Linked DNA regions of Xenopus tropicalis. Each later gene encodes a partner of the first gene's protein in a complex. Links are inferred from orthologs where the notes say so. Each region holds a gene or a part of one and is shown in the gene's direction. Other genes may lie near its edges. The genes, in order: srsf1, arvcf and pa2g4.

Region 1 (11,607 bases):
TGCTGAAGTTATTGTTTGAGCATGTTGATAGACATTCCTCTCTTAGATTTGTACATAGCAGTATTGCTTGTACAAGCAGACCTTTGCTTATGTATTGCATTGTTATATGTAAGCATTGTTAAAAAACAAATGTAAATCCAAGCACATGCTTTCAGCAAACAAGACTACTGTAGTAAAATATCACTCTGATAGAAATATGGAAGATTTAAGTGCCAACTGGGGGTATATTATATTTTTCTGCACATTCAGCATTTACATTTTTGCTGTCAGAAACCTTATAAACTACAAAAATTTTATGGGGAGGGTTGGTGGCAACCTGCCTAAATTCAGGCTTAAAGCAAAAGTAACACTAAAATAGTGTAAAAAGTAAAAAAGCTATTCTACCCTGCACCAATAACTGCCCTATCCTGCAAACCACTTAGTAATAGAAAATACCTGCTAAAACTTGGCTTCCTGTCAATTGAACTACGGCATATCTGCAAAGAAAGGAGCAGCAATCACTATGCGACGAACTATGGATCGAGCCTAGCCTTCTTTCTGTATAGGAAGGAGTCAGGCTAAGCTCGATCAATCGATCGTCGATTTAGTGTTACATTTCCTTTAAGATTAGACCGTGGTTGACTTTGGCATGCATAAATGTAGATACAAAATATATTTGTCATCTTACACCTTTAAAATAAGACATTTTTCAATTTAGCATTTTGAACTTAACTGCCTGTCACTGCATACAAGGGATACATTTTAACCACAAATTACATATTTGCCCATTTTTTTGTTGCCCCCATATCCAAAGTAACAAAGCAAATGGCTCCCAGCATGGACACACTAGGGTTCAGTACAGTATTTGTATTTTCATTGCCTAGGAAAAAAAAAATAAATACACAGTACTATGACTATAGACTTTGTTTTGTATCTGAACTAAATATGTACATGATCATTAGGATGATATCCTCTGTGTTCAGTAATACACAGAATGTAGCAATCTAATTGCAAAAAGAATACAATTGCCTTTATTGTGGTCACAAGGCAACACTTCTGTCTTTCATTAGCTGGTCATCAAGCCTGGCTTGATGTGCATGGTGTGCACGGTGTTGGTGTATCCAACGCTCTCTTCCTCCTCCGTTTTCTCTGTTTTCAATAATGCGTTATTGTTATACTGGGTCTGTACTCACAGGGGCAGGCGTCAAATCTAAAATGCAAACAAAAATTGGTCTTTCTTTAATTCATATTAGTTTGCCACCTTTCCTCAGACAGGAAGTACTGCTGAAAATCAGATGTGGCTGGACCACAACTCCTTGGAGTTGTAGCAAAGCCACCTGCAACCAGGGATTGCTGAAGTAGGTCAGTGCATAATATCCAAACTACCACACCCACCATTCTGTGCATCTGCATGGGATGCATCAATCTGTGCAACTGCATGGGATGTTTGGTGTGGGAGAGGGGGAGGCAGTAGAAATATGAAACTAGGGAGAAAGAAACAGAATAAGGGCAACTTTCCAGTTTCAGTGATTCGTATACAAGCCCTGGCATTAACATCCTGTTGAATGTAATAGATATGCTGATTAGGTCAGATCCAGTTATATGATAATTTTGTTATTTATAAGTGGTAAGTAGGACACTGACTGAATAAAAGATATTTACATTTGTAGACCTTAGGTTAATGCTAGACTGAGATGTTTCTCTGCCTATATTGTGTCTGCACTCAGAGGCATTGTGTTAGCCCTGGTGTAGACACAAATAGCAGATAGCATATACCTCCAAGGACAACAACTGAAAGTAGCTCATACCCCCACAGTGTTATTTGTTCTATTCTTTAGGAAGCATATGCTTTGTTCCCTCCTAGTAGATAAGGTAAACTGTAGTGAGAGGATGTTGAGCTTTTTTTTAGGCATGGAAGAATAGCATTGTTTATACCCTAATTCCAACAGTTTTTGTGAAAAGCGCACGCTTCAGGAATTCAAGACTTCATTCATCTCAGTGCTCCGTAAACAAGGGGATTATCTGTTCTGGAACACTGGTTCTTCAGGACATGTATCTGCATCTGGCAAGCACACCAAGATTTCATTAGCACTGTCATGAGGAATTGCAAGATCCAAGATTATCAATTATAATTTATAGCCCTTCTCTTCAGCCTCTCATCTTCCCATAAATATCATTAACACATTTATGGTGCTTGTAGTAGTATATACACTGTACTACACTTAGATGATTGACTGATATGTTCAGGATTTTCAAAAAGTTACTACTAAATCAAATATTATTGCCATGCAGCACACACAGTTCCTGGATGTATTGATGGATTACTCTCAAAGCCAGACTGTTCTTCCCAAGAAATTCCAAGTCTGACAACAACCCTTTTTAATCTTTCAACACAGGCAATAACCCCAAAAATACTCTGTATTTAATGATTACTTTTTAAAAGTCTGCATCAGTTCTTGCTTGAGTGATTGCTGCCTGTTGAACAGGAACCCACTGCAATGTGTGGAAGAACAGACCATGTAAACAGATCACCATGTACTGGACTTTTTGCACATAAAACTGTAGTTATTTGACTACATGAGTCCATGCCAGAGGCAATTAATGTGGGGGTTTTGAGGTGACGTGGAGTCTGGGGTTTTATGCTCTCCAGCTCCAGTGGACTGCAGTTTGTGCTGTGTTTGTAAACAGAGCAGGTTTTTGTGCCCATAGCATTGTGCTATATTCTAAGAAGCACAGGATCTGTATAGGGACATTCAGGTTTTAATACATTTTTTCCAGCTTCAGAGAGGCAAATGGCTAACTGCAGACCCAGATTGGATCCAGATATGACAAACTGGGACGTGACTAATCTATACCCACAGCAGACTGATAATTCACTGCAACTATTCTGTTTAAAATACATAATCCACAGCTCTAGAATTCAGCATGAACTCCAAACTTTAGGCACAAAATTGACAATTGTTTCCCTTTTTGGTACCGTTTGAGTGGATATGTTTTAATTTCATTTTTACAACTGTATGGATTTAGATACTAGAACAACAACAAATTCCTTCTTTTGAAACGGATGCCCTTGTGTCTGCTGGAAGGACCTACTGGTAAATAAAGCATTAGAGAGATAATATGGTCCCCTTATATAGTTATACATATATACGGGGATCATAAATGAGAGCGCAATTGCTCTTTTTAATCAGAATTTTTGTTCTTAAGGTTGCCAGAAGCGACACTCCTGTTAACTTGCCCGGCACTACCATCAGAGGCAATTTTTTCAACTTTTCAACGTGCTGCTGCCATGAGGATAGTTAAGAAACTCACCTTTGGTGGCAGCGCCCGGCAAGTTACCAGGGGTGGCAAAAAAAGATCTTAAAAAATAAAAAGTAACAAAGGAAAACTATATCCCCAATCACTGTAGGTCTCTATAAAATGTATTGCATAAACACCCTTGTGTAAAACCCTGCTTCATCTAAATAAACGATTTTTATAAAAATATACTTTATAGTAGTATGTGCTATTGGGTACTCCTAAATAGAAAGTTGCCATTTTAAGAATTAAGGGCCGCCTCCTGTGATCATAGGATTCACAGTGCACACAAACAAGTCAAGGAAAATATGCATGCTGGGCCCCATCAGCCAATTAATGAACAAAGTTCTGCCTTCTTCCTGTTACAGTTAGAGCTGCATTATTTCTGGTCATGTGATCTCTGAGGGCGCACACAGCCCATCACTAAATTGTGGATCAAGGAAAAGGATTTAAAAGGGCAATATTTACTGATATATATATATATATATATATATATATATATATTCCAGTTTGGCGAGATTCTTTAATAGGTCACTCTGCATAATATAAACTATCTGTTGGTTAAGTATTCATTCTGGGGGTATAGTTTTTCTTTAAAGAGATGAAATTCTGAGCGCTATTTCTCTCTCTACAATACCGATGTGGGGGGAAGCATCAACTTGCACACCTATTCATGACAGTACCCCTTGCCCCCTTTGTTCCACTGTCGGAAGTGACCTCTCAAAAGCTATATTAAATTTGTTCAAAGAAATTTTTGTTTGCTAAAAGGCATACATTTTCGAGTATTTTTCTGTTATGGATTTTTTTTACATTCCAGCATCAGTTTCTTAAATACTTTTGCACTTTTTGAAGTGCTTTTCCACTTCAGCCCAGGGTTGCACTCCCTACTCTGTAAAGCGCTGGGCAATATATAAATGTACGTATAACTTTATTTATAAAGCGTTAGAAGGGTACACAGCGCTATACAATCTTACAATATACACAATTACACACAGGGAGGACAACTGTTATAATAAATACAAGAAGTATAAATACACAGATTGAGCGCCATGTGGTGTGAGAGAGTAGGAAGGAGGTCCCTGCCCCATAGAGCTTACAATTTCACTGCCCAATCTAAGCTCGACTAAAATAAAACAAACAAATATGCACAAGGCCCAAACAGGAGTGTAATGTAAGGCATGTATTTATTATCAACACATAAATATTTGTAGAGTGTAAGCTCTTTTGGGCAGGGCCCTCTTCACCTCTTGTATCGGTTATTGATTGCTTTATATGCTACTCTGTATGTCCAATGTATAAAACCCTTTTATTGTACAGCGCTGCAGAATATGTTGGCGCTTTATAAATAAATGTTAATAATAATAAATAGGACAAAGTCTTCCCAACCTTGTTTGCAATATTACCCTGACAGCAGTTACAAAGTATTGAATTGCAGTGCTACTTTAATGGGGAAACCATTGAGAGTGGACCACAGAGACCTTATCCGCACACCCTAACACTCCAAAAAAAATTTTGTACGGTGCACACTGCTAGAGGGATCGGCACCCTCCAAATACACTGTAACAACAAAAAAAGCAATTGGCACTCAGGACTACAAACAAGGGTAAAACCCTTTTAAAAGTTTTATTGCGGAAACCATTGAGAGCACACCTGTAGTTAATGATTTTCATACTCATAATGAATGTCACTGCAGATAAAGAGCTAACAGCCTCCGACCATGGTTCTATAATACAAAACCACCTAACAACAGCCATGGCGCACGACGAGTAACAAAACATTTTTCAAACAACACCCACTGCCCTCCCCCACTATGGGCGCGCATTTCCTGGACGGACGTGACGTCAAGCACAGGGTATAGAAAGCCCCCCTATCACATACAGAGAAGCAGCTTGAGCTCAGGTTTCTAGTATAAATATTACCTCAGTGAATAGATTCTTTCTTAGGGCCGTAATTGGCACATAGCTTTAGGAACATTGCATCGTGAAGACGTGGAAACGAGAGGCTCTATATTGTCTCGGCGTAAGATTACCTTTGTTGAGGACGCACCACTGCGAGTTCTTAGTATCCTTGCGCGGCTAAAGCAAGGGAGGAAGTAACTCCGCCATCTTGTCCAAGCTCTGAAGCGCGCATCGAAGGTCTGTTTGGCTTCCAACTCCATTTCTTTTTCTTCTCAATCCGTCTCCCTTTAAATCCATCAAGCTGGATATGTCAGGGGGCGGCGTGATTAGGGGGCCGGCGGGTAACAACGATTGCCGTATCTATGTTGGCAATCTGCCGCCAGACATCCGCACCAAGGACATTGAGGACGTTTTCTACAAGTATGGGGCCATTCGGGACATAGACCTAAAGAACCGCAGAGGGGGCCCGCCATTCGCCTTTGTGGAATTCGAAGATCCAAGGTAATCCCTGTGTAAATGTTTTTGCTTTGGCCTATCGTGCTAATGGGCTCGCCTAGTGTTAACTGGTGAATAACTACAATATACCTTGAGTGTATCCGGGGGCGGGGTGGTGGTACTGCGACTTTATTTCTGCTGTAGTTGATAAAATGTCGTCCGCTGTTGTATTAGAGTTTATATATAGTCGAGGAGGCCAGTGAGGGGGGGAATTAGGCCTGATTATGGTGCAGGTTATGTTTCAACATCGGTGCGTTGTATCATTATTCAAGTTAATATATTTAGCCTATAATCCCTACAGAGTGGCGCCAGAATGAGGTATTATACACTCATTGTGTATCGCCATTAGCACGTGTAAATCCCTATTTATTACCGCCTTTAGGCAACAGCGCCCCCTGTGTGTGGGACCGAATAGCGCTTCCGCTCTTTGTTCTGCAGCCCTGCACCATGCTTACTAGTGTGTTAAGGGAAGGCATTCTAACAAGCAAATGTGCTTTGGGTTATTTATTGACCTGTTTGCTTTAAAGCCGCTGCCTCATGTCTCTGCTATAAAGCATGCAATTAGGCTCACTGCACTTATTCAACCAGAACTCCTAACACCTTTTATGTAGGCTGCTTGGAGAAGTGCAGTATTGATATTCAATAGCAACACTACAAAATGAATAATGGGTGTTTAAGCATCTGCACTATATGCACATATGTAAAGTATTGGTGAAAATGTACTGTTTAAATGTAAATACAAAAGCTTTTGTGTAGTCATGGGGGCAGCCATTCATGTCTAAAAGACTGTTAAGATACAATGGCTTGCTTACACAGAATTAATCTGGGGTCATGTGTCGTTTGTAGCTCTATACATGACTGTAATAAAGTTTTCTCATTTACAGCCAAGAAAGTTTTCCAGGATATGTAATTACCATTGTAGGTGAATATTCTCTTCTTAACCTGGCATTCTTTAACTAAAGCAATTCTTACCTTGGTTTCTCTTAGGGATGCAGAAGATGCTGTCTATGGTAGAGATGGCTATGATTATGATGGCTATCGCTTGCGTGTTGAGTTTCCAAGAAGTGGGCGAGGAGCTGGAGGCAGAGGTGGTGGTGGTGGTGGCGGCGGCGGAGGAGGAGGTGGTGGAGGCGGCGGCGGCGGTGGTGGTGGTGGCGGCGGAGGAGGAGCTCCCCGAGGGAGATATGGACCTCCATCAAGACGTTCAGAATACAGAGTGGTTGTGTCAGGTAAGAGTTCTATCAGGTGGCAGGTTTAAAAACCAAAGTAAAAACATCAGTTGCAAAGTTTTAGAGGAATAATGCCCATCAGGTTTTTACAAGCAGCGTTATTTCACATGTATACAATAATGAGTTGGACACAGTTATGCATACATTCTAAAGTATTATGCATTCTATACCAGTGGATATGACTGACCATTAATGTATACAAACAGAACTACTAGTATATCTCCCTTTAACTTTAGTTCAGTTAACGGCTTGCATCAGCTTAACAGAACTTAAGCAACTCTCTGCTTGGTCCTTGCAAGGTAGATAATTGTATTACAGTTCACACACAATTCTCCTGCATAATGGACTTCAAACCATGCAGTCACAAGAAAAGGGAAGGATAGGGTATTGTCTTCAAACAAGATATTAAATGGCCCTGTCTGGTTGCTCAGGATGCTATCTGGACTATGAAAACTTGCACATGTTGCTATGTTACCTTCAGTTCAAACATGAAGCACTGCAACAAATTTACCTTTAAAACGTACTAAATGTAAACCCCTGAGTTATTTTAGCAGAATTGGGCTGTTGTGAGTCTCGCTGGAAGCATGGTTCAGATTAAAACAATGGGTTTTCCCCAGGATGCTGTGTTCATTTAAGCAATACAGCTGTCTTTGGACTGTTTTAATGCTCCATGCATTGCTGTATAACCAGCATAGATACCTACTCTTGGAATTTTGGCACTAGAAGTTCATAAACCATTTTAAATTTCCACCATTTGCATGCTTTTAATTATGTATAAAACTGCTTTTGATACCAAATTTGACACTCTGATAACTTTATATTTCTAGGGTTGCCTCCAAGTGGCAGCTGGCAGGATTTAAAGGATCACATGCGTGAAGCAGGTGATGTATGTTATGCCGATGTGTTCCGAGATGGTACTGGAGTTGTGGAGTTTGTGAGGAAAGAAGATATGACATATGCAGTACGGAAGCTGGATAACACTAAATTTAGGTCTCATGAGGTAAATACTAAATTGTTTAGTAGTTTGTGTTAAGTTTTTCTCTACCTATTGTGACTAGCAGTATCTGTTTTACATGACCTCTGAAGCCAATAGTGATGTTGGCCAAATACATAAGGTGCCAAAAGATATGGGAATTTTAAATTTTCTGTATAATGTACTATAGTTGCTTGACTTTTATCGTTCTTTGATGTGCCTAAGTTCATAAGATATTGAAGATTGGCTTGTTCAAATCCAGCTTCTCTCATTGATAGGGAGAGACTGCCTACATTCGTGTTAAGGTAGATGGTCCAAGAAGTCCCAGCTATGGAAGATCGCGGTCACGCAGCCGCAGTCGTAGCAGGAGCCGTAGTAGAAGCAACAGTCGCAGCCGAAGTTACTCTCCAAGAAGAAGCCGTGGTTCTCCACGCTACTCTCCTCGCCACAGCAGATCTCGCTCTCGTACATAAATGAAAAACACGTGATGCTTTTTGTAGACCCTCATGTTGTATACAGTTTTCTTTACTTTCATTTTTTTAAGTCACTGTTTTATTCAATTTTGCCGAAGTGTTGAATCCTTTGTGTAGTATTGCCATCAGACTGGCTCCTTAATGCCCTCATTTCCCTCATGCCTAAAACTGTATTTTAACTGCTAGATTCTTCCAGTTTAGCTAGCCACTCTTCAGAGGCACCAGCTGGTGTTTACTATGGTTATGGCACTGTGGGTTTTGGTGGTTGATTACCATACATTCTAACTTTTTTTTCCTGGGGGAATTCTTGTTTTACCTTGCCTTTTCATGTGTCTTTCTGTAGACATATCTGAAGAGATGGATTAAAGGATTGTGGAGGACATTTCAATCATTTTAGGATTATCAAATGGAGGCTTGAGGAGGATCAGATCAAATATGGAGGCCATGGTATGACTCCAAGTGCTACTGTTAGACAAAATTGGCAGTATTGACCTTATGCTGAAAATTCTTGTTTTAAGAGAACAATTATTCATAAGTGATACTGTGATCTGTTTTATAAATTTAGTCCTGTGCTTGTAGAACATGTCCTTTTTCTATTCCTGTCTGTAGGGGTATTTCCACAATACATGTGAATGTCTTGTGGGCCTCATTCTACTAGGTAGAGTATAATATCAATACTGCTAAACATGCATGTCCTCTGTGGTTCTAAACATTGCTCTTGTTTTAATTGTCACATTAAAAATCAAATGAACTCAGATGTTGGTGTAAATTGCTGTGGGAGGGATACACTTTTTCAGCCTATACCCATTGCAGACTGAGCTTTGCAGATATATGCTGACATTTACATGAATGCTGTTGGCTGCTTGTGACTGATCAGTCATAGCTTATGCATAGCAACTGCATACCAACAACATGCTTACTTTCCTCTGTGATACCTTTTTTAATAAAACTTCACCCACTGTAAAAATGGGCAGTCCTCCTGTGGGTCCAATTGTACTTATTGTAAACTGTTACACACAAAATTACTTTTTTTTTTTTTTGCATGTTTTTTTCTCCTATCTTTTTCATATCCAAGAAGATATAACAGCCTTATGCAAGCTCTACCTGTAGAAATATTTTCTTTGGTATCACTTCCCAGTAACCTATAAATTCCACCTTTTTGTAATTCCTACTCTTGTATTGCTCCCAACAATGAGTCTGACTTTGAATGATACCTTAGTTATGAATAAGGAAGTGCTAATGTGAAATAAATGAACCAACTCTTAGGTAGTCCCATAACCAGCCAGGATATTAGCAAGGATATTGATTAGGGGAGAGAAGTAGATAGTCCTTGTTGATCATACTACTATCTAGTAGTCTGAACACTAAAGCATATGAAACTGGCACATTCAAGCAATGTATGTCTAGCTTAGTCTTATATCTACAAGTATTTGAAGGGTAGTAGTTTGGGCACCAGTGGATTAGATTAGATTACTTTTTCTATTCATCATTGTACATGATTTGGCTTATGCCCAGTGCATTGTACAGTCAAGCTGTTCTCAAACTGGGATGCATGTTATAACATTCCAGTGCATTGCGTCAAAGAATGTGATACTTGCACATACCTTTACTTAGAGACTTGACCCTTACTAGTGGTAGCTATCAGTCTGTGGGGTAGCTCTACTTGGCCTCCTCTAGAGCATTTTTCCACAATCGTTTGAAAGGAAAAGGAAATTTGGTTTATTTATATCCTGGTGGCTTTAACACTGAGCCCTATAATTGTGCTTTTAAAGTGTGATCTTTAGTGGTGCAGGATGATAGGACCCTGTCTAGACTTATTCATGGCATATATGCTACACCCCCAGGTTTTGTTAAATCTATTTGGGCCATGGTAGGACTGCTTTTCTTTTACTTAAAAAGGATGTATCCAATAATGCTCCTGCTGCATGTTCTCAGTGGGTGTTGGTAAAGATATCACAATATGAAAAGTACATCTGTATGTATTCAAGCAACTGCTTCAATGCTGAGCTCATAAGCTTCATGCAAACAAATATTTCAGGTGTAACTATATATCTATATTCCTGCAGATGGAGCAACCTTTATTTATGCATCTGACACTCTGCACAATAATTCAGTTTGGGATACCAGTTGTGGCTGTGTGCTAGATGCTTAAATTGGGTCTGTTTTGTGTGTAAATCCCTATACCACTATTCAATAGATAATTTTTGTTTTGGGAAGCTGTGTAGCTATTTGTGCAGTCCTGCTCCCTGTAGGATTACATGAGTAACTAGTCTGCTCCCATAAACTTGTCTTAATACTATCTAACTCTGCCTCTTTTTTTGGTTTTGCTGGTTATAAAGGTTTGGATTGGAGAGGGCTCACTGGATCCCAATCCTGGAGCTGGATCATTGGATTCAAATCATAGGAATGAATAGGATAGGGAGGATGAATAACCAGGATTCATGGAGCGGGATCAGATAACAAGGAACATAGGAGTGGATTCCTGCCCCATCTAAACCGCATTCATGTGGAATTTTTATTTTTTCACATCAATTGGCTATTCCATAGAATTTTTTTTTTTTTTTCCTACGAGTGAAGCCCTTAGGATGCAAGAAGGAGCTTGCTTTTTTTTTTTTTTTCCTTTGTGTGTTAAGAGCAAAGAGGAGACCTGAGGCACGCTGGAGCCATCTCCTGGGAAGGATACCACACGAATAGATGGTAAACTTAAAGGGCTAATGGGTGGGAATATAAATTAATCCATTCTTAAAATCTAAATTTGAACAAATGGGAGTAAAAAAAATAGTTGACACCCCCCCCCTCCCCTTCCTGGCTGCATTTTTTAATTTGCTTTTTGAAACAAAAATAAATGGATAAGTAATATACTTGTGTTGTGTAAATATTTTCCACTCCTCTGTGCCTGTTTGTGTGCTTACCACTTTAAGTGGGGAAAAATCCTCCCCTTTCCTTTTTTCTCAAAATAGGGATTTAGTGAAGTATGACTAACTTTATATTAAAGCTAACATCCTCCATCAGTTCTCCAAAGGCATTACTCCTTGCAGCAGTATTATGGGTCATTCCCTAGGCTTTTGCATAACCTGTTTTAAAAGACCATATATCGGAGAAATTCTGCAGTTATATAAGTGTCGGCACTTTAATTAGCCTTGCATCTCATACCTGAACAGAGATCTCCGTTCTCCACCCAGTCCAGTGCATGTGCTCTTGATTATTGCCAGAGACAGGAAGTGACATCCCTACCAACCCCTCTGAGAAGCTCTACATTCTCT
Region 2 (10,954 bases), on another chromosome or scaffold:
TTTATTATGCTGTGTAAAATGAAATTCATCAAAAAATCGGTGTAGAAATTTGTGTAAGATAAATGGCAATTTTATCAGGATTAGTTTTATTTTTTGTCATCCAAATGGTAGATTTGGCACCATTATTTTACGCCCCTTCAGATGTTGTGTAAGTTCCAGCAGAAGTTGCGTTAGAAATAACAAACTTCAAAACTATGCTAAATTTTACGTTCCAAAGCGGGGTGAATTTTGCTATTTTTACATAAATCTATTTATATAAATCTATTTATTTTACATACATTTTTAGCACACTTAAGGTATTGAGATCCAAATCCAAGTCCCCTACCTGTACCTGGATTACAGTAAAAACCTTTATGGTGTTATTAGATGCTCTGCATAGTTGTGTTAATCTTCATTCACTTAGCTATACCAGGTAACCTGGTTAGATGTGTTGTGTTAGTGGATGGGGTGCCAGGTCCAAGCAGAGATTACAGTAGTGGTTGGTGCTGTTGGCGTTGGCGCACATTGAATCAGGGTTACACCTATTTAGTGCAAAGTTCTGCATCTTTATGCCTTTTCTCTAGACAGTGTTTATCCCTCTGCATGAGTGTTTTGTCTAGTCTTCATGGCAAATATTTCCATAATATAAACCTATGGTATCACCTGTATTTGCATCCTCCAGGCTTGATTTTGTGGCTGTTAACTCTCGGGGATGCAAATGTTAAAAGGTATCCAAACCAGCCTCAGCACCTGCAATGAAAGAGTCCATTTGCCAGGGGCAGAGTCATGAGGCACAGAAACATGGCTGGAAGAAGGACTTGAGCAAAAGGAAAGATGATTTGTAATCCTGAGAGAGGACAGAAGAAAATAAATTAGATCGCGAGAGAGGGTTTGGGGAGTATTCAGAAATGACTTTGGTGTCTGTATGGTGAAGATTGGCTTGACACAAGCAGCTTATATTATATTGGGTACTTTGCGATTACTATCTGGCATAAACACCAGTGCAGTAACTGATGTTACACAGAAAGGCTAAATAGAGTATACAAATACAATGGAAGTGCGACTGATCTGGCCAAATTAACTACAAGCGTACAAAAAGACAGGGGGATTGATCAATGCACATTCCCTGGTCCCCTGTTTCATAAGTAAATTATCTGTGCTAGTGCATGTGTTTACAAAAACAGGAGTTTTTAGTTACAAAATTATGATCATAAGATTGGTTAGCCACCAGGGGATGTGCACTGATCAATCCCCCTCTCTTTTTGTATGCCAGTAACTGATGTTGCCCGCTTTGCCCAGACTAAATACTGATTATTAATTGTGCAAATGAATTGCATAGGTCTGTGACTTTTTTCCCATTCATCCTGTTTTCTGCCTTTTAATTGGTATGACTATTATTATTGTATGTATTTATTTATTTTCACACTGAAAAGCTAAAGTTTTCCTTTATCTTTGGTTTGCTTCCCTATGTCTTCCTATTTTTGTGGGTGGCCAGACACAAGTTCAGAAGACAAAAAGATTTACAATGCTTCTTGACTTTGTGTTTATGTATCTTTGTAGCTTAAATATTTTATAAGTAGTCTGGTTTCTGTTAGGCCTCTCTTGCGAATTTAACTGCCTGAGATATTCAACGCAAGTGCACTCAAGGGACAGCCATCCTCAATTAATATCTCTAGCCACATTTAAGCAGCTTGGACACCCTACTGCTGTCAGCTTTGTACATGCAGCCACTGACTGTTCCTCAGCCCTTGGGTTTTCTTATTTGCTACAATCCAGAGATGCCTCATTGTTTTCTGGACATACACCAGGAGCATTTAACTAGAGCAGTGATCCCCCAACCAGTGGCTTGTGGGCAACATGTTGCTCCCAGTGGCCTCAAATCATGTCTTAATTTTTAAATTTCTGATTTGGAAGATCATGGCTACTGCCAAACAGAGCCTCCCGTGGTCTGCCAGTTCACATTGGGCTACAAAATAACCAATCACAGCCTTTGTTAGTCAACCCCTAGGAACTTTTTTCATGCTTGTGTTGCTCCCCAACCTTTTTTTACATTTAAATGTTGCTTACGGGTATGAAAGGTTGGGGCCCCTGAAACAGAGTAAATCAAGTGACTGTATGGAAGTTGGGGTGGGTCATGCAAATAAAAATATCAGCTCCTCACTGGAGCAAATTTGAGTCTATTTTGGAATGGAAAGGGTACATTTTTTTTTCTATGTACGGGTACGTTTCTTTTCTTAAACGTTTTTTTTTTTTTTTTTTTATTCTAACCTAATTGTATCACTTTTAATGAGTGTATGTTGTATGTTTTATTCAAATACAGCACGCATTTGGGATGTGTGTATTTATATTTATGATTATAATTATGCAGAAGGTACTTCTGTCAAAGATCAAAGGTTTGTCAGTTTCCTCTGCGTGGCGTGCAGCTCAGCCTTCCATTCCATGTGGCATTTGGGTGTGCCTGTAAAATAAGCATGGTATATAGGATGCCATAACTTACAACCGGGTCAGGCACTTGAGATCCAGTCTTCCACAGATGTTGTCAAGCTGGCATTAGAACAGTTTTATAGCCATCAAGGGGGACTGTTGCATTCATCCCTTGAATATTTCAAGCTGACCTGACTTTGAAGCTGGGCCTTGGGAGCCCTTTGAAGCAGTGTTTTATCTAGTTCCTTAGTGTTCTCACACGTTATTTTATTCATGTACCTCCTTCGTCATCCTCTTCTCCACACACGACCACTATGCCGTCTCCTGTTTTGTTTCTTAAAGAAATGTTTTGTTTTTAAACATTTTTATGCATCATTCAAGCTGTGCAATTTTTTTTTTGTTTGCTTTAAAAAAATCTTTTGCCAGATTTGAAACTTGGCCACAATTGCTGTGGTAAGCTCTGCTCTTATTTTGCTTTTTGTTCTGGTTTAAGGTATTTAGACAGTACAGTATATCATAGAAGCAAACACTGCTGTTTTTCTTGGAATGGGCAGGTATGGGGGGGAAGCAGCCTACCTAACACATATATTGCCCTCCAGATGCCTGCAGCTATAACTACCTCACTGTTACATGGAGCACTTGTCACACTCTCAACTAAACTCAACAGACGGCTTTGCATCTTCTGGAGGATACTGATTGGGTAGCCATGACAACAACAGTGCATTTTGGGCCCCTGCTGACTGCTCTATAGAAGCCTGTTCCTTGCAAGGTTGTGTTTGCTTTCACATTTCCTTACTTTTTTCCTAACAATGTTAATAACACCCACCTCTTATTAGCTACACTACACATTTGTTATCAATAGCTCCCTCTAATGCATCTCACCGATGCTAAACAGCAGGCAAGAAAGTGTCTTTCAAGAGATCATTTTACAGTCCTTTTCTGCAAAGGTGACAAATCCTTTTCCCCGTCTGTTAGACTTCATTCTTTAGTAAAAGATATTAAGCCAATACCCAATACAGGCATATGACTGCATCCAGAAGTAGAAGTTCTGGTCCTCTATGTAGTAAGAGGATTTGCTGCTGTTCTGTCTATAGACTGAAGTGGGCAGCATTGGAAATGTACAGTGGGGCAGTGGCTCATGTTGGAAGCAGACAGTACCTAATTCTGCCAGCTCTGTAGATTGTTTCCATTTGCCAGTTAGACCTGTGCCATTATATGTTTGGAAACACTCAAGGTCAAAGGGAATGATGCCGAAATGAGCTAATTTTTGTACTAAAGGGCAACTGAATTCCAAAATCAATATGTTAAGGCAGAGTGCTCTGGCGCGACTTCAGATAGACCTCTGTGTATTTTCAGGTTCCACATTGTGGCCCTCTTTCTGCAGTCCCCCAGAAGGTGCATGGAGTGCTCTGCCTACTGTGGCATAATACTTAAAGATTAACTAGCAATAAAATATCAACTGTGATGACTTGTTACCCCTTAAGGTTGCTAGGTGCATGCTGAAATGGTCTGCGAGTTTAGCCACTTGCAGTGGCACAGGGTTCAGGCTTGGCCCGACATCTGTATTCAGATATTAGACAGTTCTTCAAACCTACTGTTTTTCTATCTTCCATTAAAGAGGTTTTTTAATGACTTGGTACTTCTAATATAACAATTCTGAATATTGAGACGGGTAGGATTTGCTGTTCGGTATTAAAGCTAGGCTTGTGCTTTTATACAAACATCTACTGGTAAAATTATAACCACCTGTAAAGCAGGGACAGAAAATTTTAGTTAATCATTATAGCTCCCACGTCCTCTTTCCCAGTTTAGCTGATGAACACTGGGAATTATAGGTCGGTCTTGTGTACAAAGTACCTATGAGAACCTTACACAAAATTCTATAAAGTTTATATGTATGCGCTGCTTTACTGCTTCTGTTGCAAAGTTCTTTAGTGCGTGACACCTGGTTGCTAAATGACACAGGGTCTGACCATGGCCTATTTGCCTGAGATTATATTCTTACACCTTTATTACACAAGCTTTGATTCAGCCTTGTGTGGAGTGACATGGAGGGATACAATTGCAGAATTGTGTATGGTCAGTGTCTCTTCATGCAGGAGATTAGCTGGATATTACATTTTCATTTTCCAGAGAATTCCCCTTTAAGTGCTACTTGACGCTTCTCTATGATTTGGTAATTTTTATATATAGCTTCATGTGGATTTATCTAAAGAAATATTATTAGCAGGGCATTGCCCTCAGTTTAATGCATTCACCAAATACCTCAGATTGCTCTGTGACTTATCCAACTGTACATGACCGACATCAGAGAAATAAAAGGTAATCCCCATATAGGACGTGACTACAGTACTGTACACTGGAGCTGTGGCGGTGGTAATCACATGGGCTGACCCATTAACCATTTCTTAACCACATATTTTCCCAGTGTTAACATTGTGCTGCAAATGATACCAGTCTGCAATGGTGGCTCGGTGCCTGGGAATGTGGGGCTGGAATTCCAAGCTTAGCTAAACAAAAGCTGTTAGTAGTTTGCAGAAGTATTTTCAGACAACGCAATGGCAAGGCCCTTTGTGAATGTGCAATTTTAAGTAATGTATTTTTGGAAATACAAATCCTTGCCTTACATTCTGACATGCATAATAACTTTTGTGTTTGCACAGGGACATGTATTAAAATGGATGTCTCTTTCCCCTGTCTGACAACGCAGCAGTTGTGTTGTACTTTATGGTGGGGATAATAGCAACTGTTATTAGGACAATAACACAAGGGACAATTTCCCGCCATATGGGTGGCAGTTGTCCTTCTGTTGACCTGAATGGTAGTCATCTGGATATTGCTGATGCACTTGCAGGTCAAGTTATTATTGCTCAGAAATGTTGCCCCTTGTGCCATTAATAGGGTGCCAACACCACCATTGTCTGAAATCCTATCTGTTCGCTGAATACATAGCTGAAGGATTTTGGACTCTTAAAGGCAATTGCACACACAGCAATTTGTTGCCTATAATTATAATGGCCAGTCCTGCAGGCGACAAATCTCCTATGTGCAAGAAAGTGGATTGGAAGAAGGCATTTTTCTAAGATTACTCCAGTAAAGTGTTTTGTGTTTGGAAAAGCCCATACTTTCAAACGAAAAAGGTATTTTTCCAGTGATTTTCTGCTGGCGACATATCGTTGTCCTAAGCACTAAGTTGGCAGATATGTGAAGGGTAAGAAAGCTTGACAAGACAAGGGAAACTACTTCACAGCAGTTTAAATTGAAGGGGTGTTTTTATAAAATATTTTATAATGCGGTACATTATTTATTATAATACACTCATTTTAGAGTGTCATGTGATAAAAATGACTTCACTAATCCCTGATTATCTGTTGACATCACTAAGCATCATTTATATAAACATAATTTTGAATGGATTTTCAGGGCTCTTGTGTGTTATGAATCAATTAAACTTTTGCATCATAACAAATGTACCTCCTGTTGTAAAATCTGAGTATTATATGAGGATATAAAAGTAACCTTGAAGTTCCACTCAGCCTTCAGCCTTGTGCTTTTATATGGTCATGGAACTCCTCCTTATATTTTACATGTTACTCACTATATAAAGTGTTTGTTGTAATCTGTTCTTATGGACAGCACCTTTGATGCATGATTTATTGACATCCAGGTTCAATAAATTTCAGTGGGCCATATAAATGCTGTTCGTGACTACAACCACTTTTTTATGGAATGCCACAATCCTTGTAAAGGCTCATTTACGAATGCCTTTCACTGTGCAAATTTCCCCTTTTCTGATGCAATTTGTCTGCCAGACACTGGATAAGAGTAAAGGTGGCCATACACGGGCTGATTCTAGCTGCCAATATCGGTGGCTAATTGGCTCATTGATGCGGTCCCCGATCCGACTTCTCCTATACCCGTCATTCTAATTTGATTGTTTGGCCCCAGAGCCTGGATTCGCCCGATATCGCCCACCCATAGGTGGGGAATATCGGAAGAAGATCCGCTCACTTGGCGACATCGCCAAGCGTGCGGATCTGAAGGTGTATGGCCACCTTAACACCAGTGTTTGTGCCAACACCCCTTATCTGGTCTCTAATATATTACGTCACGCATGTACTTTGCATTTTTCCATGCATAATACCTTGGCCACAGGCATTCTCATTAGATGGTTATCACACAGCTCCATCTTTTAATGGCTGCTTCATTCTTTGTATTCTATGAAGAGTCCCTTATTTTGGCCTTAACTGAGGCAAGCAGTATGACACTTTCATCTGATTCATATCCTTTCAGATATGCACAGTATTCAATTTGTGTGCAAGCAATAAGCTATGGTCTCATAATATTTATATAAAAGAAACTAAATGTCAGATAAGCCGTTATTGCTTTAATATTTCAGATGTCTTTCTCCTGGGGCTTAAATGTTAGATCTTACCTGGTTATCCACACAATCGGGTTCTTTAAGGAGCTAAAATATGTAATGTGATGGTATAAAAGTTAAAGGGGAAGTCTTAAGTAGAATAATACATTCCTCAATATATGTGTTTTCATTTGAGTTCATACAAGAAGTGTTTTCTCATAAGAGGGCAAAGGGTTTAGTGGTGTAAAGAGTTGGGGCAGTGCTGGATTCAAGTGGTATTGCATATACAAGCCTATATAGAACACAGATATGGATACAATCCAGAGGATTTTGTTTTGTTGTGCTGTTTAATACTGTTGCCACGTGGGGGCAGTAGCAAGACTTGATTTTCTCAAGGTCACTTAAGGAAATGTATGGCCTGCTACCAACAGTTCAAGCTCAATAAAAATGGTAATGAATTCAAATTTAATAAAAGATTTCCTTAGGCATCTATTACTGTATTAAAAGAACTTGTATAAAGGTTGATTTGCCCTTTGTATTCAAGCAATAAAAAGTCATTTGTTCATGCAGAGCTGGCTAGGTATATTCTGGGATCTTTTTAGAACATACAAATTTAGTGTCACATCTGTTATAACGAACACACCACCCTTCTAAAAAAAAATAAATAAAAAAATTGCGTTTTCCCAGTTCATGTACTCTTTAATTGGTCTGTTACTCTTGAAGTGCTACATACAATGTACTACATAAAATATATACAGAGATATACATATATATACACTCCAATGTTCCTACAAGCATTAGTTGTGTGCGCTGGCCTCTGAGTTTGTGTGTGCACACAAGAGCAAAGCTAAAATGGAACATTAGTTTACACTTCAGCTTCTTTGAGTGTTTGGTTCTGATATCTGATGGCCGTAGTCCATGTTTTTTTTTTCCTATGTTGGTGACAGGTAGTAAGTTTCCTTGGCTGACCTTGAGAAAATCCAAGTCTTGCTACTGCCCTCATGTGGCATAGTATTTAATAGCAATACTGATCATTTTCTCAACTCTTATCTTTTTCCCTATTTACATCGTTTGCAGTGACTTTCTTACCTGGATGCCCTATGTTTAATGCTAACCATGCCACATTTTACTAATGACATTCCTAATGAAGCAATCAATAAGTGTGGTTCCTCTTTCCCTCTTCTGTAGGTTTTGAACTTCTGTACCAACCAGAGGTGGTGCGTCTGTACTTATCTATCCTGACAGAGAGCCAAAACTACAATACATTGGAGGCTGCAGCAGGAGCCCTACAGAACCTCAGTGCTGGGAACTGGACTGTAAGTGATGTTACTCATAGACTTGCTAGATGTACAGCAATACTACCACATTTCTCATATGGTTGGTGCTTAATACAAAAGATGTGGAGATTTAAAGATGAAAGTTGATTTTTTTTTTTTTCCTCTTCCTTTAGTGGTCAACCTATATCCGTGCCACAGTGCGCAAGGAGAGGGGCCTGCCAGTGCTGGTGGAGCTTCTTCAGTCTGACTCTGACAAAGTGGTAAGGGCTGTTGCAATTGCTCTGAGGAACCTTTCTATGGATCGGCGCAACAAGGACTTAATAGGTATCTTTTTTTATGGTTTTTTTTATACTTAAATTATAGAATTAGTGATTTTTCACTACTTTCTGACCTACTCCTTTTGGCTTATCTCTCAGTGCCTTTCATTCTGTGTGATCTTCTGTACTATTTACACTGCTGTTTGTTTACACATATACATAGTAACATAGTAAGTTGGGTTGAAAAAAGACATACGTCCATCAAGTTCAACCATAATGCCTATATATAACCTGCCTAACTACTAGTTGATCCAGAGGAAGGCAAAAAACCCCATCTGAAGCCTCTCTAATTTGCCGCAGAGGGGAAAAAATTCCTTCCTGACTCCAAGATGGCAATCGGACCAGTCCCTGGATCAACTTGTACTAAGAGCTATCTCCCATAACCCTGTATTCCCTCACTTGCTAAGAATCCATCCAGCCGCTTCTTAAAGTTATATAATGTATCAGCCAGCACAACTGATTCGGGGAGGGAATTCCACAACTTCACAGCTCTCACTGTAAAAAATCCTTTCCGAATGTTTAAATGGAACCTCCCTTCTTCTAAACGAAGTGGGTGCCCTCGTGTCCGTTGGAAGGACCTACTGGTAAATAAAACATTAGAAAGGTTATTATATGATCCCCTTATATATTTATACATAGTTATCATGTCACCTCTTAAGCGCCTCTTCTCCAGTGAAGAAGGAGGGAGAGGGTTATAAGTAGTTATCATTGCTGTGCACCATATGTTGTGGTACTAATAAATGTTTGACAACACTATTGTACTGGATATCCAATATTTGTTTCCTTGCTTGCTTCCTTACATTACACATTTATATTCCCTATATAAACCAATTCGTTTTAGCCCACCTGTAAATGGCTTATTCTATTAATCCATTTTAACCCACCTGTATATGACTTCAATTCTAATACAGTAGCATGAGGTTTTCAGAGGAGGAAAATGCAAAGGGTACATCTATGATTTTTCTTCAGGTAACTACGCCATGGGACAGTTGGTTCGCAACTTGCCTGGAGGACAGCAACGTCCCGCAAAAAACCTTGAGGAAGACACTGTGGTTGCTGTTCTGAACACCATTCATGAAATAATCACAGACAGCTCAGAGAATGCCCGATCCTTAATACAGACACAGGGGATTGAAAAGCTTATAACTATAAATAAATCCAGGTAACTCTTTCTTCTAGTCCTTTTTTTTAACCACAATATTTAGGCTAATGTCCCACAGAGAGATTAGTTGTCGGTGGAAAAGCATACGCATAGCCTCATTTTTCTAAAGCCGAGCAAAGTTTCCTCCATGGGGCATTAGCCTTTGGCTACACTGATCAGATTGTGTGAAACTGAGGAAAGCTATTCCTTTAATCTTTTATTGGCCTTATCTAGGTATCCTTTTACTATAAATACTTCAGTCGCTTAATCTCTGTGATACAGACCCATTTAAGCTATCTAGAAACACTAGTGGATATTTGTGCTAAAGCAGACGGTGCCTTAAAGTATTATCCTATTACTATTCTGCTCTCTGGGCAGGGTCTGTTTACCCTATACTATAGAATGTAAATGTGCAGAATGAATGAAATTAACCATCCAATATTATTTCCAAGTGGATTTATATTATATATGAATTTCAGTAACTGCCTCTATTTGTTCTTTCTCACCAAATATTACATGGTGCATCTGTTTCCAGTCATCTATTGCTGCTTAACCTCTTCTTCCCTATTATTATTAAATATTTTTATTACTGCCAAAGCAGTATGCACCCCATAGAGACAGTACAGGCAAAAGACTGTTTTAATTGAGCAACAGACCTTTAAGTTACATAAGATGTAGAAATCAATTAAATAACAAGTTTTGGCTCTTATAGGTTGCAATAAAAATGCCTGTTGCACCATATGGACTAACTACTTTAATAATCAGTCATTTGTTTGCTTCATAAGGGTCCAAAATACTTTTTTTGCATAAGTTTTATAGCTATAATTCAGAGCAAGCAATTGTGTTGCAGCTTGCAAGAATTGGAGACCATTTGCCTAATGGGGCTAACTATGTTGTGGTGTTTTGTTTGTAGATTTTAAAAATGTAACTTTCATGCCTCGCGCATGTGTGTGTGTCTGTCTGTCTGTCTGTCAGCCTAGGTTGCAGGGTACCACTACTGTGACATGGAAATTAAGTTAGGCATAATAAGGAGCTGGACTAGTGCTGAAAAGAGCTGCTTTACAAAAGATGTGATACAGCAGCCCTACCCATTTTTATAGACATAAAGCTCACAATGCACATAAATATTTCAATTACTGTAGCATAAGCATTGCTAGGCCAGTTCCTTTCTTGTATATATTCCTGGGGTGCTTTGTGTTCTTTGTAAGATGGATGTCCTTTCTAATTTCTTATTAGTCAGTCTCCAAGGGAGGTGAAAGCTGCCTCACATGTCCTGCAGATGGTTTGGAGCTACAAGGAGTTACGAGGGGCACTACAGAAGGAGGGCTGGAACAAAGCAAACTTCCAGGTATGCAGGCTCAGCCCATATGATGGTCATTGGGAGATAATAGGTCAGGCTCACATGCTAAATTGCAACTGCTCACTGTCCTAATAACCAGTTCAACATTGTTTTTAT
Region 3 (10,954 bases), about 62 Mb from region 1:
TTTATCCAATATTTAAAAAAAATTAACCATATCAAAAGGAGTTACTTCATAGCTCCATGGTTACTGAAAACTATTTTGGTGTTGCTTTGCATAGTAAAAGGTTCAGAAATAATAAATTACTTCAGACCAACATCACAAGAGCTTCTTCTCTTTTGAATTTTTTTCCCAGCTGTAGGCTGGTTCGTTTAACTGGTTTTAAACCCCGAAAAGGTGGTTTACTCAAAGTAATGCCTGCCTTGTAAGGACAAATGGTTTATAATAATCTCCCACAAAGAAAATAGTTAGTGCACAGTTTCCAGCCCACTCAGTCTAGGCAGTGCATGTTCAAATTAAAGGTTTTGTGCATACTGACCTTGCTTTGTCTTTTTTAGGGGTACTGCGCACTCTGGTGGATGCAGCAACAGCTGGGGCTTCACTCCTTAATTTGTGTGAGAAGGGAGATGCAATGATTATGGAGGAAACGGGCAAAATCTTCAAAAAGGAGAAGGAAATGAAAAAAGGTATTGAGTACCTAGCTTTCTAATCAAATAAGGCATTAAATTGTAAGTAGCCAAGATGGACAACTTCTAAGACCTTGCACAGACAATGCCTGTTGTCTTGCTAATAAATGCCATTGGAGAATACACCCTGCGTTTAAAATAAAGACGTGCGCGCAATTTTTTAATGTAGCGGTACACACCAGAAGTACAGAAAAAGTACAGCCAAAGCATAGTCCTAGACAGAAGCTAAGAAACACCACTGTGATCTCTCCAGACTTCAACCTTTGACAGGAAGGCCTGTGCTGTCAGGGCCCTCCCATGTAAACATATCCTTTAAAATAAAAAGTATTTTGTTTATGATGGTCTCTGCTTTATCACTTTTCTGATCCAGTTGCATCTTTATGTTGCAGGGATTGCTTTTCCAACGAGTATATCTGTAAATAATTGCGTGTGTCATTTCTCACCTCTGAAAAGTGACCAAGATTATCTGCTTAAGGATGGCGATCTGGTGAAGATGTAAGAGGATTTGTCTGCTAATAAGTTTGTTTCTTTAACCATAAAGTTAAACTGCTGTAATAAGCTAATTAAGTATATTGGCCCTTCCAGGTTATTATTGCAATAAAGGACATACAGAAAGTCTTAGTAATCTTTAAACTTAATGCTGAGTCCGATTTCATCTTAGTTTTGCAAAGCTGCATATGAAGGCAGAAAGAAAAAAAAGCCTGCTTGCCCATAGAGCAAGGGGACCTGTCATCTTAAGAAATAATTAAAAATCCATTTTATTATGTAAGTTGCGCAAAATAAACTTTACATACACTACATAAATTATACAATCTGGTTTCCCTCAGTCTTGCAAGTACACAATCACAGCAAGCCGGCATCTGCCATTTTATTAATGCAAGCTTTGCATCATCCCAAATTCTTGAATATGGTCCACGATCTGGTACCTGGTGCCCGTGTGTGTATAGAAAACATAAATGCAATGACATCTAGGAAGTGCTGAATGGAATGTTAAAATAATTGCCTGCCCCGCCCCTAAGCACGAGGCTTAGAGGCGGGGCAGGTTATATATGTTTGACAGCTCATATTTTTAAATGCATTTATAACAGGTGTGGATGTTATAATAAAAAAAAGAATTTGGGTTTCATGTTTACTTTGCAATGAACTTTTTTTTATGCAGTTTTTTATGTGTTGGTAATAGGTCCCCTTTAAGTCTAAATGTGGGTAATAAGAGGGTACTAATGCTGCTGTTTATAGCTGTTGGGGCACAGAGTCATATGTGCACGGACTGAACTATGTACATATACTGAACTAGATATGCATAGTCTGCACATATAATATATATATATTTAATTCATGAACTATAAATACCTATACGTTCCTTTTGCATTGTTCACTCTACCCTATACAAAGATTGTAACACAAAGTGCATATTAGACTCCACTAAGCATAAAACAGTTGATGGGCTGATCCCGTGCCTATCAGTGTATACACATTCAGGTAGGAAAAGGCAGCAGATCTGCTTTTCTCTGCTCATGTATAAATATTAGTGGAGAAACTGACCCGTGTGCCACTAGCCTTAGAGTTAATAGCAAAGTACATTTTCTGATAATATTGCTAAACACACGCTGGCATTTTTTTTTTCTTGAAAATTGTTTTCATTTTTTTCTTTGCAGTGATCTAGGAGTTCATGTGGATGGCTTTATTGCTAATGTTGCCCACAGCTTTGTTGTTGGAGCCTCAAAGGTACCCTTTTTTTTATTTTCATATTGTCAGACATATCTGCTAAGAAATTTGTTATGGAATTTTATTTTACATTCATGCCTCATAAATGACAAATGTTTGAAATATAGAACATTATTAGAAACTTTTAGCTCATACCTGTTTTCTTTGGAAAGGTACCCTTTTTAATTGTAGCTATTACACTGGAGCAACTGCACTAGAGGTAGATTTTTTTGTCAGGGAAGTTGAATTTTTAAAAACAAAGAGGGATGAAAAGAGCAAGTAAAACTTTTATGGTCACCTTAATTAAAAGAAGGCAAAGTAAGAAATGTAATTCTGGGGAGCTCGGGTACCACTTTCAATTGTATTCCCAGCCTAGCCTTCAGAAAAAAGCAGCTTTGCGGCTCACAATTTCCATCATAACTGCAAATACTGCTAGGCTGGGGCTCCATTTTCTGCAAAAAAAATAGCTTTCCACATTCTGTTTTTCGTAATAACTGGCACATTTCTGTGTTGTAACTTTAATTTTTCCTTTATTGAGGTGTATTGAATCATTATTTTCTAGTAATTCTATTTTTTGCTTTCTCATCAAAAGAGGTCCAGGAAATATCATATAAAAGTAAATGCTGTATTGCAGGAAACCGTAGTGTGCATGTCATTTAAAAACAAAACAATCCTAGTTCTGTGCTGTCTATGGAAACTTAAACCCAGTAGAGACGTTTTTGTTTAGGAGTGTCCGGTGACTGGACGTAAAGCCGATGTCATCAAAGCAGCCCATCTGTGTGGAGAAGCCGCTTTACGTCTTGTGAAACCAGGAAATCAGGTGAGAACCTCCAAGCTAAAATGCCGCCCCTGATGACTGATGTGTGTAGTGCAGAGCCTCAGAATAGGGCAAATAATAATTCTAATAACCCCAATAATCCAGTTTGGAATTTAAATTATCTTTGAGGTGGCCCTAGGAAATTCAGTGTGGTTTGGATGGCTGTAAAACAATTAGGGGATAGTCTGAATAGAAAGATATGTAATACAAATTAATGATACAAATCAAACCTCAGATTTGCTTGTTAACATTTTAGGCTAGCGAGAGTGTTTTTAAATGGCCTAGGTTGGTCAGTTGGCCTTGTTATGCTTTAGGTTTTTGTTGTGGCTCCCACAGTTTCCTTTTATGGTTGTTTATTGGCTGTTTCTGCAGTGTATACAAAGCACTCAGAACTGTTATTTTTCATTTACATTTAGAACTCGCAAGTGACTGAAGCATGGAATAAAATTTCTCCATCTTTTAAATGTACTCCAATAGAAGGTAATTATTTTTAAGGATTTTGTTGATGCTGCATTTGTTATACCATGCAACTCCTACAGATTTATACCCAGTATGAATTCACACACAACAAAACTAACTTATGAAGTTATGAGATTACATTTTGTTTTGTGTGAATGTTCTCTCATGTAAATACAGCAAAAATGAAACCGATATTACTTTTTACTGAGTGTTCTACATAAAGTGGATATTTCCATTCTCCTTTTGTAATGCACTTTTTTAGAGTCCATTAGAATTGCCAGTGATTAGGGATGTGATAATAGATAGATGTAAATAATAAATTAAAATGAGAAGCTGCCCACATTGAAGGCATGAGTAGTTAACCTGTCTATTAACAGCCACAACTTGTAAGACGCATTTGGGCTTCCACCCCTTAATCACATCACTATTTACCAATATAAAAGTTGGCCAGTATAGTAAGACCCTCAGTTTCTGTTCAAAGGGCAGTATAGCCCAATTTTCAGTATGAATTCAATGACTAGGCTTCTGTGCTGAAATACTTTTTGGCTATCGTTCTTCTAAATAGGGCAAACAGAGAAACTGAATCTTATGACGGATGTCCTTTTGATATTGTGTTTGTCATTGGAGAATATATGGATGATGAAATGTTTTTTTTTTTTTTTTCATCATTTTCATTATTGTATGTCAGTCATTACTTTTTTTTTTTTACAGGAATGCTTTCTCACCAGCTAAAGCAGCATGTCATTGATGGTGAGAAGACCATCATTCAGAACCCCACTGACCAGCAAAAGTAAGTGTTGACTATTAGCAGTTATTACCTTAGTAGCTCTAATGTGTTGTATAACTAAATGGAAAATGGCACCAAAGGGCATTTTTATTACCCTTTTTTTGTACTGAAAATAGAGTCTAAAGACAGATATAAGCTGGTGGTGTGAGTCCTTTTGACTGATTTGGCAGATTATCTGCTTGTGCATGGCCCCCCCGATGGCCCAGGTATCATTCGGCAGTGTTTATATTTTCTGTCCGGGGACCGCATTGCATCATCGATTTGGTCCAATGGTGCCCGGCACGAGCAGATGTTAAGATCCGCACCCTCATTTTAATTCAAATGTTTGACCGCCTCACACGAGCAGATCTTAACATGTATAGCCACCTTAATATAATGCATTTTACAACGCCACCCAGCCTACTGATACATAAGCCTGCTCTCCCAAGGTATCTCAAGGTGGCCATACAAGTAACAATTTTGATAGGAAAGACCGTCTTCTACCTCCACCTGCCGATTCAGCCCTAAACGCAGATTTTGTTCGGGCGTCTTCAATGGCTGATCGGTGAGACGACCGATATCTGCAGCCTTTGCGATATCGTTGGTCTCGTTGATCATCCAAACACGCACCGAATATCATACGAAACGAAGTACGATATCATCGGTGTGTGTATGGCCAGCTTTAGACTCAAACTTGTGAACTTTTTGACTGAAGAAACATGAGGGATAATGTGAATATACAGAGATTGTTTAAGGGTAATTATATCTTAGTTGGGATCAAGTACAAGGTTTGTTTTATTAATGGAGGAAAAAGGGAATCAATTGTAAAAATTGTAATCATTAGATTGTTAGTGAGAAAAATGAGTAATGTTTTCAGCTTTATTTTAAACTTGCACGTTATTGTATATTGCTGAAAGGATGGTTTTGGCAATGTGTATGTGAATTCCAGCAAGAATATCACTGTAAAACACATTTCTTCTTTTGTAGGAAAGACCATGAAAAAGCAGAATTTGAGGTCCACGAAGTTTATGCTGTAGATGTTCTTATTAGCACTGGAGAGGGAAAGGTAGGTTAATCAATGGATTTCATGAAACACGTCTTTTGTTCCTCAAGACTTGAATTAGTAATGCCACCGCCTTGTTTTTGGTTTAGGCAAAGGACGCTGGGCAGCGCACAACAATTTACAAACGGGACCCCACTAAGCAGTATGGCCTGAAAATGAAAACCTCCCGTGCCTTTTTCAGCGAAGTCGAGAGGCGCTTCGCTGCAATGCCATTTACTCTCAGGTACTGCAGAGTCCTTGCATTTCACTTGAGCAGCATAAACTTTAAATGGGCAGCATGCTAAATATGTATTTAAATAATGAGTTATGTTTCTGAAGCATGGATTTTTAGAGTACTTTTTTGTAAAAGCACTTTTCTCCATCATCTGCTTGGGGGACACTGGAACAGCAGCTATAGCAGGTACCACTAGAAGGCAGCATACAATAGAAGAAGAACTAGCACCATCTCCACTGGCTGTACCCCCAGCAGGTAGAGCCCAGTTCAGTTTTTTTTTGTTTTGTTCTTTTGCAACACTTTCTTTATTGTTACAGTCAGTCACTAGCCGGGAGATGTTGAAGTAGTGTGTCTCTTACTGGCATCTCCCAGCGTGGGATTGTCTTTGGGGGCAGTTTTCCCCTTTGCAATCAGGAAGTTCAGCCACACTTCTGCCCCTAAAAGTCCTCCAAACAGCTGCTTCCTCCTTCCTGCCTTCAACTTTTTTAGGTTAGTTGGCCATCTCAGTGCTTGTGCCATTAGAAGAAAATCCTCCCACTTCATCAGCGCCTATTAAATTGCTAGCCTGTTCCAGATGTTGTAAATGTTTACCCATGTACTCTCTGTAAACTGCTGGCTGGAACAAGGCCAGGAACACCCAGGAGGAACCTGGATTCCTTCAAGTAGATCCCAAAACCCAGAATGCACCCTGTTCTGGAGTGGTTCTCAGCTGGCGACTAGGATTCTAACAGCCTAAAGATCAAGAATACTAAGCGCAGGGCCCCTTTAGAAGTCTTAACATTAAGGTTATCACAAATGCAGAGCCTTCCAAAGTGTGAACTCCAATCACCTCCACCCAGAGTTGACTCCACTACCAGCAGTGGTAGTCTGTGTCTTTGGTCTTTGGAAAAACTTTTATTTCAATAAATCCTATCCAATATCCTGTAATTTCTTCAGGATGGCCATTTCATGGATCTTTCACTGGGCTCACTCAAGTAACAGGTTTTGGCCTTGTCGGTCCTCTTCCAGAAACACTGGCATTTCTTCCTGATGTAGAATCCTTCCTGCAGGGGTAGCCCATCTGGCCCCCCCCATTTCAAGCATTTGTTCCCACGTGGCACCTCGCCTTTGTCCTATGTGCACTCCAATGTCGCCATTCGAGCCTATGATCTAATTTTCTCTTTAGAGGGTCACTTAAAAGACCTTCTTCCTGCTGGCAAGAGCTTCAGCGAGGTGCATTTCCATGCTCCGTGCCTTATTGTGCCGGGCTTCTTTCCTTGTTTTCCATCCCTATAGGGTCATTCTCTGCACTGTGCCATCATTCCTTCCCAAGGTGGTATCTGCCTTCCACCTGAATCAGGTAAGGACCATTCCAACCTTCTGCCCTTTGCTGGCCAACTTTAAGGTGGTGGCCCTCCAATCCCTAGACCCCGTCAGAGCCCTCAAGTTTTACCTTCATAAAGTCCATGACATTTGCATATCGGACTTTTCTTGCCCTCTGGACCATGACAGGGGGGACCCTTACAGGTTTCCCTACCGGATGAATGTTTTTGGATTCACAATGGTGGCAATTTTCCACATAAGGGCCTGAAATGTGTTAGTTACATTTTTGAATTACAAATGAGCCATTGGTATTTGTGTTTTAATTGAGAGATACCATATTAGTGTTATTTAGTTTATGTGGACTTAACACGTGTGTCTTCTGTGGTAGCAGACATACATCATTCTGACTGTATGGTGCTAAATCATCAACATCTTCAATAAAGGTTTATAATGAATCCCAGATCGACCTAAATTGTAAATGTGTTGCTGAATTCATGCTGTTTGATTGGCACAGTTTTATGATGCACATAGTAGGTTTTTTAATATGTAAATATATTTTAAAAAAAAATGTTTGCAATTGATACATTAATGCATGTGGATCAGCATTGTCATATAATAGTTTCCTTGCTCTTGACACTACCTTATTATTTTATGCAGGGCATTTGAGGATGAAAAGAAGGCAAGAATGGGAGTTGTGGAATGCGCCAAGCATGAGCTTCTCCAACCTTTCAATGTTCTCTATGAAAAAGAGGGTAAATATAGATTGATCTTGCTTTCTTTATTGCAAATAGGGAAAAAGTGTGTAAATATATGTGCAGTGTGTGTTTAGCATCTTTTTGTGTGTGTGTGTTTTTTTTTATTGTTTTAATTGCAAGGCAATTCTTAGGGTCTGTGTATTAAGATACCAGCTAGTATTCTGCTTGGGCAGACTGCAGTATTCATTAGGCTGCATTAAAAGGGAAAGGTTTAGTACTTCCATTGTGGATGCTGTCTGATTTATATTTGCAGAAGGACTAAGTCTTTCTTATTAACCTGTTCTCAAAATATGTACACCTTTTATATATTGAAGTGATAGTCCCAAATTGTTTAAACCTTGCATAGACGCTCATCAGGATAATAAAAGGGAGGCTCACATTGGCCCTCTATTTAAAGAATCCTAGGCAAATGTGTAAGGGTCTGGTGACACTAGACATTAATTAAAGACAGAGACAAACACCAAATCCTTTGTAAAAGATTCGCCTGAATCTGAATCTTAATTTGTATATGCAAATTAGGACAAGGAAAAGTTAGAGAACAGTTTGGTGAAAAATGTTCAACTTCCTTGTATGTGATAAAAAGTTGCGCGTTTTTAAGCATTCGGATTCGGCAGAATCCAAATCCTGCTGAAAAAGGCAGAGTTGAGTCCTGAATTTGTTGCATACCTAAATGTAATTTAAAAGTGGAGTAAAACATTTTTCTGCTGAATTGTATACGGACATGGTCTGTGATATTTAACTGCACAGGATACGAGTAAACCTTGTTAATGCTGTGCTTAATGTAAATGCGATACTTAGTTGATTACATTCCTAGTGACAGGCAATGCCCCTTGCTTAATGGAAATGGACCTAATGGAAAGGATATTGAAGGTTGTGTTCCTTTCAATCTAAAAATAACAATGATACGAACAAGACTTTAAAACTTTAAGATCAATCATCAGAACAGTCATAAAAAGAAAGCAAGATGTGAACAAAAATACAGCATAGGTATAGCATCACCATGTAATATGGATCGGTATACCTTAAGTCTGCTAAAAATTATTGGAACAGTGAATAAACCCAATAGAATTGTTTTATTACCAATATGGATCCATTCATCTTACTTACCATCAAGAGTCCTGTATTATTGTTATTATGTTTTTTTTATAATGGACTGTAACGGAGATGTCTTGTCCATAATTTACTTTCTAGATAATGGGTTTCTGTTAAAGAGATCCCATACCTGTATTTATATTTTACTAAATAAAAAAAAAAGTCCAAATAAATGCAAACTGAAGTCCATTTTTTAAAAGCGCAAACAGATTCACTTCAGTCACACTTTTCAGCTGCCAGAACTGTTAGGAGCTCCATTGGCTAGTAGCACTGCTGGTGATCTGAAATGTTATCAAGTGAGTAAAAAGGCAAAACTGCCCTCCCAGTAATTTAGGGTGACTTCAGTCATTTCTCTGCCAGCTAAAATACAGTGACGTGTGTCATTAGTCTCAATTAGCTTTGTACAGTAAAGAATATAGAGATGTATATAAAATATACACACAATATGAACATAAATGTAAAAAATGATATATTGACTTCTGAAAATAATAACTCCAGATCCTAAATGCATTATATAGTGGGGCAGAAGTAGTGGCACCCAAAATACATTAAATAAAGTGAGACACTGGGTAGTGGCATCACAAATACATTACATGCAGTGGGAACTTAAGCCCCAAATACATAAAATGCAAAGAGAGGCAATGATTTTTGACACCCTAGACCCATTTCCCTTCCAAAGCAGTTTTCCTGAAGGCTATAGAAGATTTTAGCATGATAGAGATTAAATTACATCAGAAATTGTTTGCATTGCTAAACAAGTTCACTTGCCCACCTAGTGGAAGACTTAAGTATAGCACCGAAACTCTGTTTTCTTATTTTGCAGCTTGGGTTGTATTGACAGTATGTTGATTAGGAAAAACAGTAGGCTACCTGAAAGCAGTTCTAATGTGTAGCGCTGGCTCCTTCTGAAAGCTCAGACTCCGGCACAATGCACTGAGATGGCACCAATATTACGACTAAAAAACGGTGCATTATTTGAAAGTAAGCTGTGTAATTTAGATATGAAGGGATTCTGTCATGATTTTTATGGTGTATTTTTTAAGTTTAGAATGAGAAACTTTTTGTATGGTGTGTGTGTTTTAATATTTATATTGTAACACTGATATCTTTAGATAATTTTTCTGGAATAACACAGTTAAAGCATTGCTTGTTTTAACTTGCAATGTTTTTTTTGTTTTTTTAATCCTAGGCGAATTTGTAGCTCAGTTCAAGTTCACTGTTCTCTTAATGCCCAATGGTCCTATGAGGATAACTAGCGGCCCCTTTGAACCTGATATGTACAAATCTGAGCTTGAGGTGCAAGATTCCGAGTTGAAGGTGGGTGAGACTTTATCACTTTATATATTTACTGTTGATTTGACATTTTTGCAGTAAAACCTCTGGGACAGGATCATTTAACTGATAGTGCTTTCTGTACGCAAAATGCAGTGATTCCATAGAGGTTATTTGTTATCTTTTTTTTATTAACGAAGAAATGTCTTATTTATAAAAACATATCCACAAAACGTAGATCTAATATGAAATTACTGGTATTGCTTACAGGCACTTCTGCAAAGTTCAGCAAGTCGGAAAACCCAGAAAAAGAAGAAAAAGAAGGTATTGTCTTTGCTTTCAGGACTGCACTTCTTTGCCATGAATTATACAAGCGCAGGAGACTTAGGGGCATATATATTAAGCTGTGTAAAACAAATTTGCTGAAAAAGCTGTGTAAACAGAGAAGATCGACGTCCTAATGCCAGATTTTACGCCGCTATTTTACATTCGTTCCAGCGGAAGAGAAACGCGTAAAAAAAACTACGCGGTTTTTTACACAGCGATGTGTGGCAAATTTTCTCGACGTTTTTTACACATTTAACTCCATAAGCTTAAACAGTTCAACCTAAGCAAAACTGGGCAGATGTATTGTTTAAAAATGTTAGGCGCCCCCAAGCGACTTTAATAGCTTACCTTTTCCCACGGGCTGGTGCCCCTGTTAGGAGAAAACAGCACCAGCCCAACATTTTGGCACCCCCAAGTAACGTAGCCTTTCCTTCTCCTTTAATAGAAAATCATTGTCTGGTTGTTTCTATATTACAATTGTTAATTTTAGGGATTTTAGACCATTTAAAGCATACACAATCTAAGGAATCTCCATGTTGGTTGGGTTGTTTGTGAGAAGGTGGGAATGTGTAGTTGTCATTTAGGATGAGAGTGCTCATCTGTACTATGTAGTTAATTGTACCATTAAAGGGGTGGTTCCCCTTTAAGTTAACTTTTAGTATAATGTAAAATGGGCAGTTCTA

What was found.
Region 2: srsf1 (region 1) and arvcf share a complex: the UniProt entries of both Homo sapiens proteins name them as parts of the ribonucleoprotein complex. The link is inferred for Xenopus tropicalis from reciprocal best matches to the Homo sapiens genes SRSF1 and ARVCF.
Region 3: srsf1 (region 1) and pa2g4 share a complex: the UniProt entries of both Homo sapiens proteins name them as parts of the ribonucleoprotein complex. The link is inferred for Xenopus tropicalis from reciprocal best matches to the Homo sapiens genes SRSF1 and PA2G4.

Annotation. Positions count from the first base shown.
Region 1 is NC_030678.2:76,099,856-76,111,462, forward strand, and holds srsf1 (serine/arginine-rich splicing factor 1), read left to right. Parts: upstream 1-5,227; 5' UTR 5,228-5,481; coding exon 5,482-5,675; intron 5,676-6,656; coding exon 6,657-6,898; intron 6,899-7,725; coding exon 7,726-7,898; intron 7,899-8,149; coding exon 8,150-8,344; 3' UTR 8,345-9,322; downstream 9,323-11,607. UniProt on the Homo sapiens protein: Plays a role in preventing exon skipping, ensuring the accuracy of splicing and regulating alternative splicing.
Region 2 is NC_030677.2:154,939,657-154,950,610, reverse strand, and holds part of arvcf (armadillo repeat protein deleted in velo-cardio-facial syndrome), read left to right. Parts: intron 1-7,951; coding exon 7,952-8,079; intron 8,080-8,213; coding exon 8,214-8,364; intron 8,365-9,326; coding exon 9,327-9,519; intron 9,520-10,734; coding exon 10,735-10,846; intron 10,847-10,954. UniProt on the Homo sapiens protein: Contributes to the regulation of alternative splicing of pre-mRNAs.
Region 3 is NC_030678.2:137,648,931-137,659,884, reverse strand, and holds part of pa2g4 (proliferation-associated protein 2G4), read left to right. Parts: intron 1-371; coding exon 372-500; intron 501-889; coding exon 890-995; intron 996-2,155; coding exon 2,156-2,225; intron 2,226-2,931; coding exon 2,932-3,024; intron 3,025-3,437; coding exon 3,438-3,501; intron 3,502-4,191; coding exon 4,192-4,270; intron 4,271-5,233; coding exon 5,234-5,312; intron 5,313-5,398; coding exon 5,399-5,532; intron 5,533-7,482; coding exon 7,483-7,577; intron 7,578-9,861; coding exon 9,862-9,989; intron 9,990-10,214; coding exon 10,215-10,268; intron 10,269-10,954. UniProt on the Homo sapiens protein: May play a role in a ERBB3-regulated signal transduction pathway. Seems be involved in growth regulation. Acts a corepressor of the androgen receptor (AR) and is regulated by the ERBB3 ligand neuregulin-1/heregulin (HRG).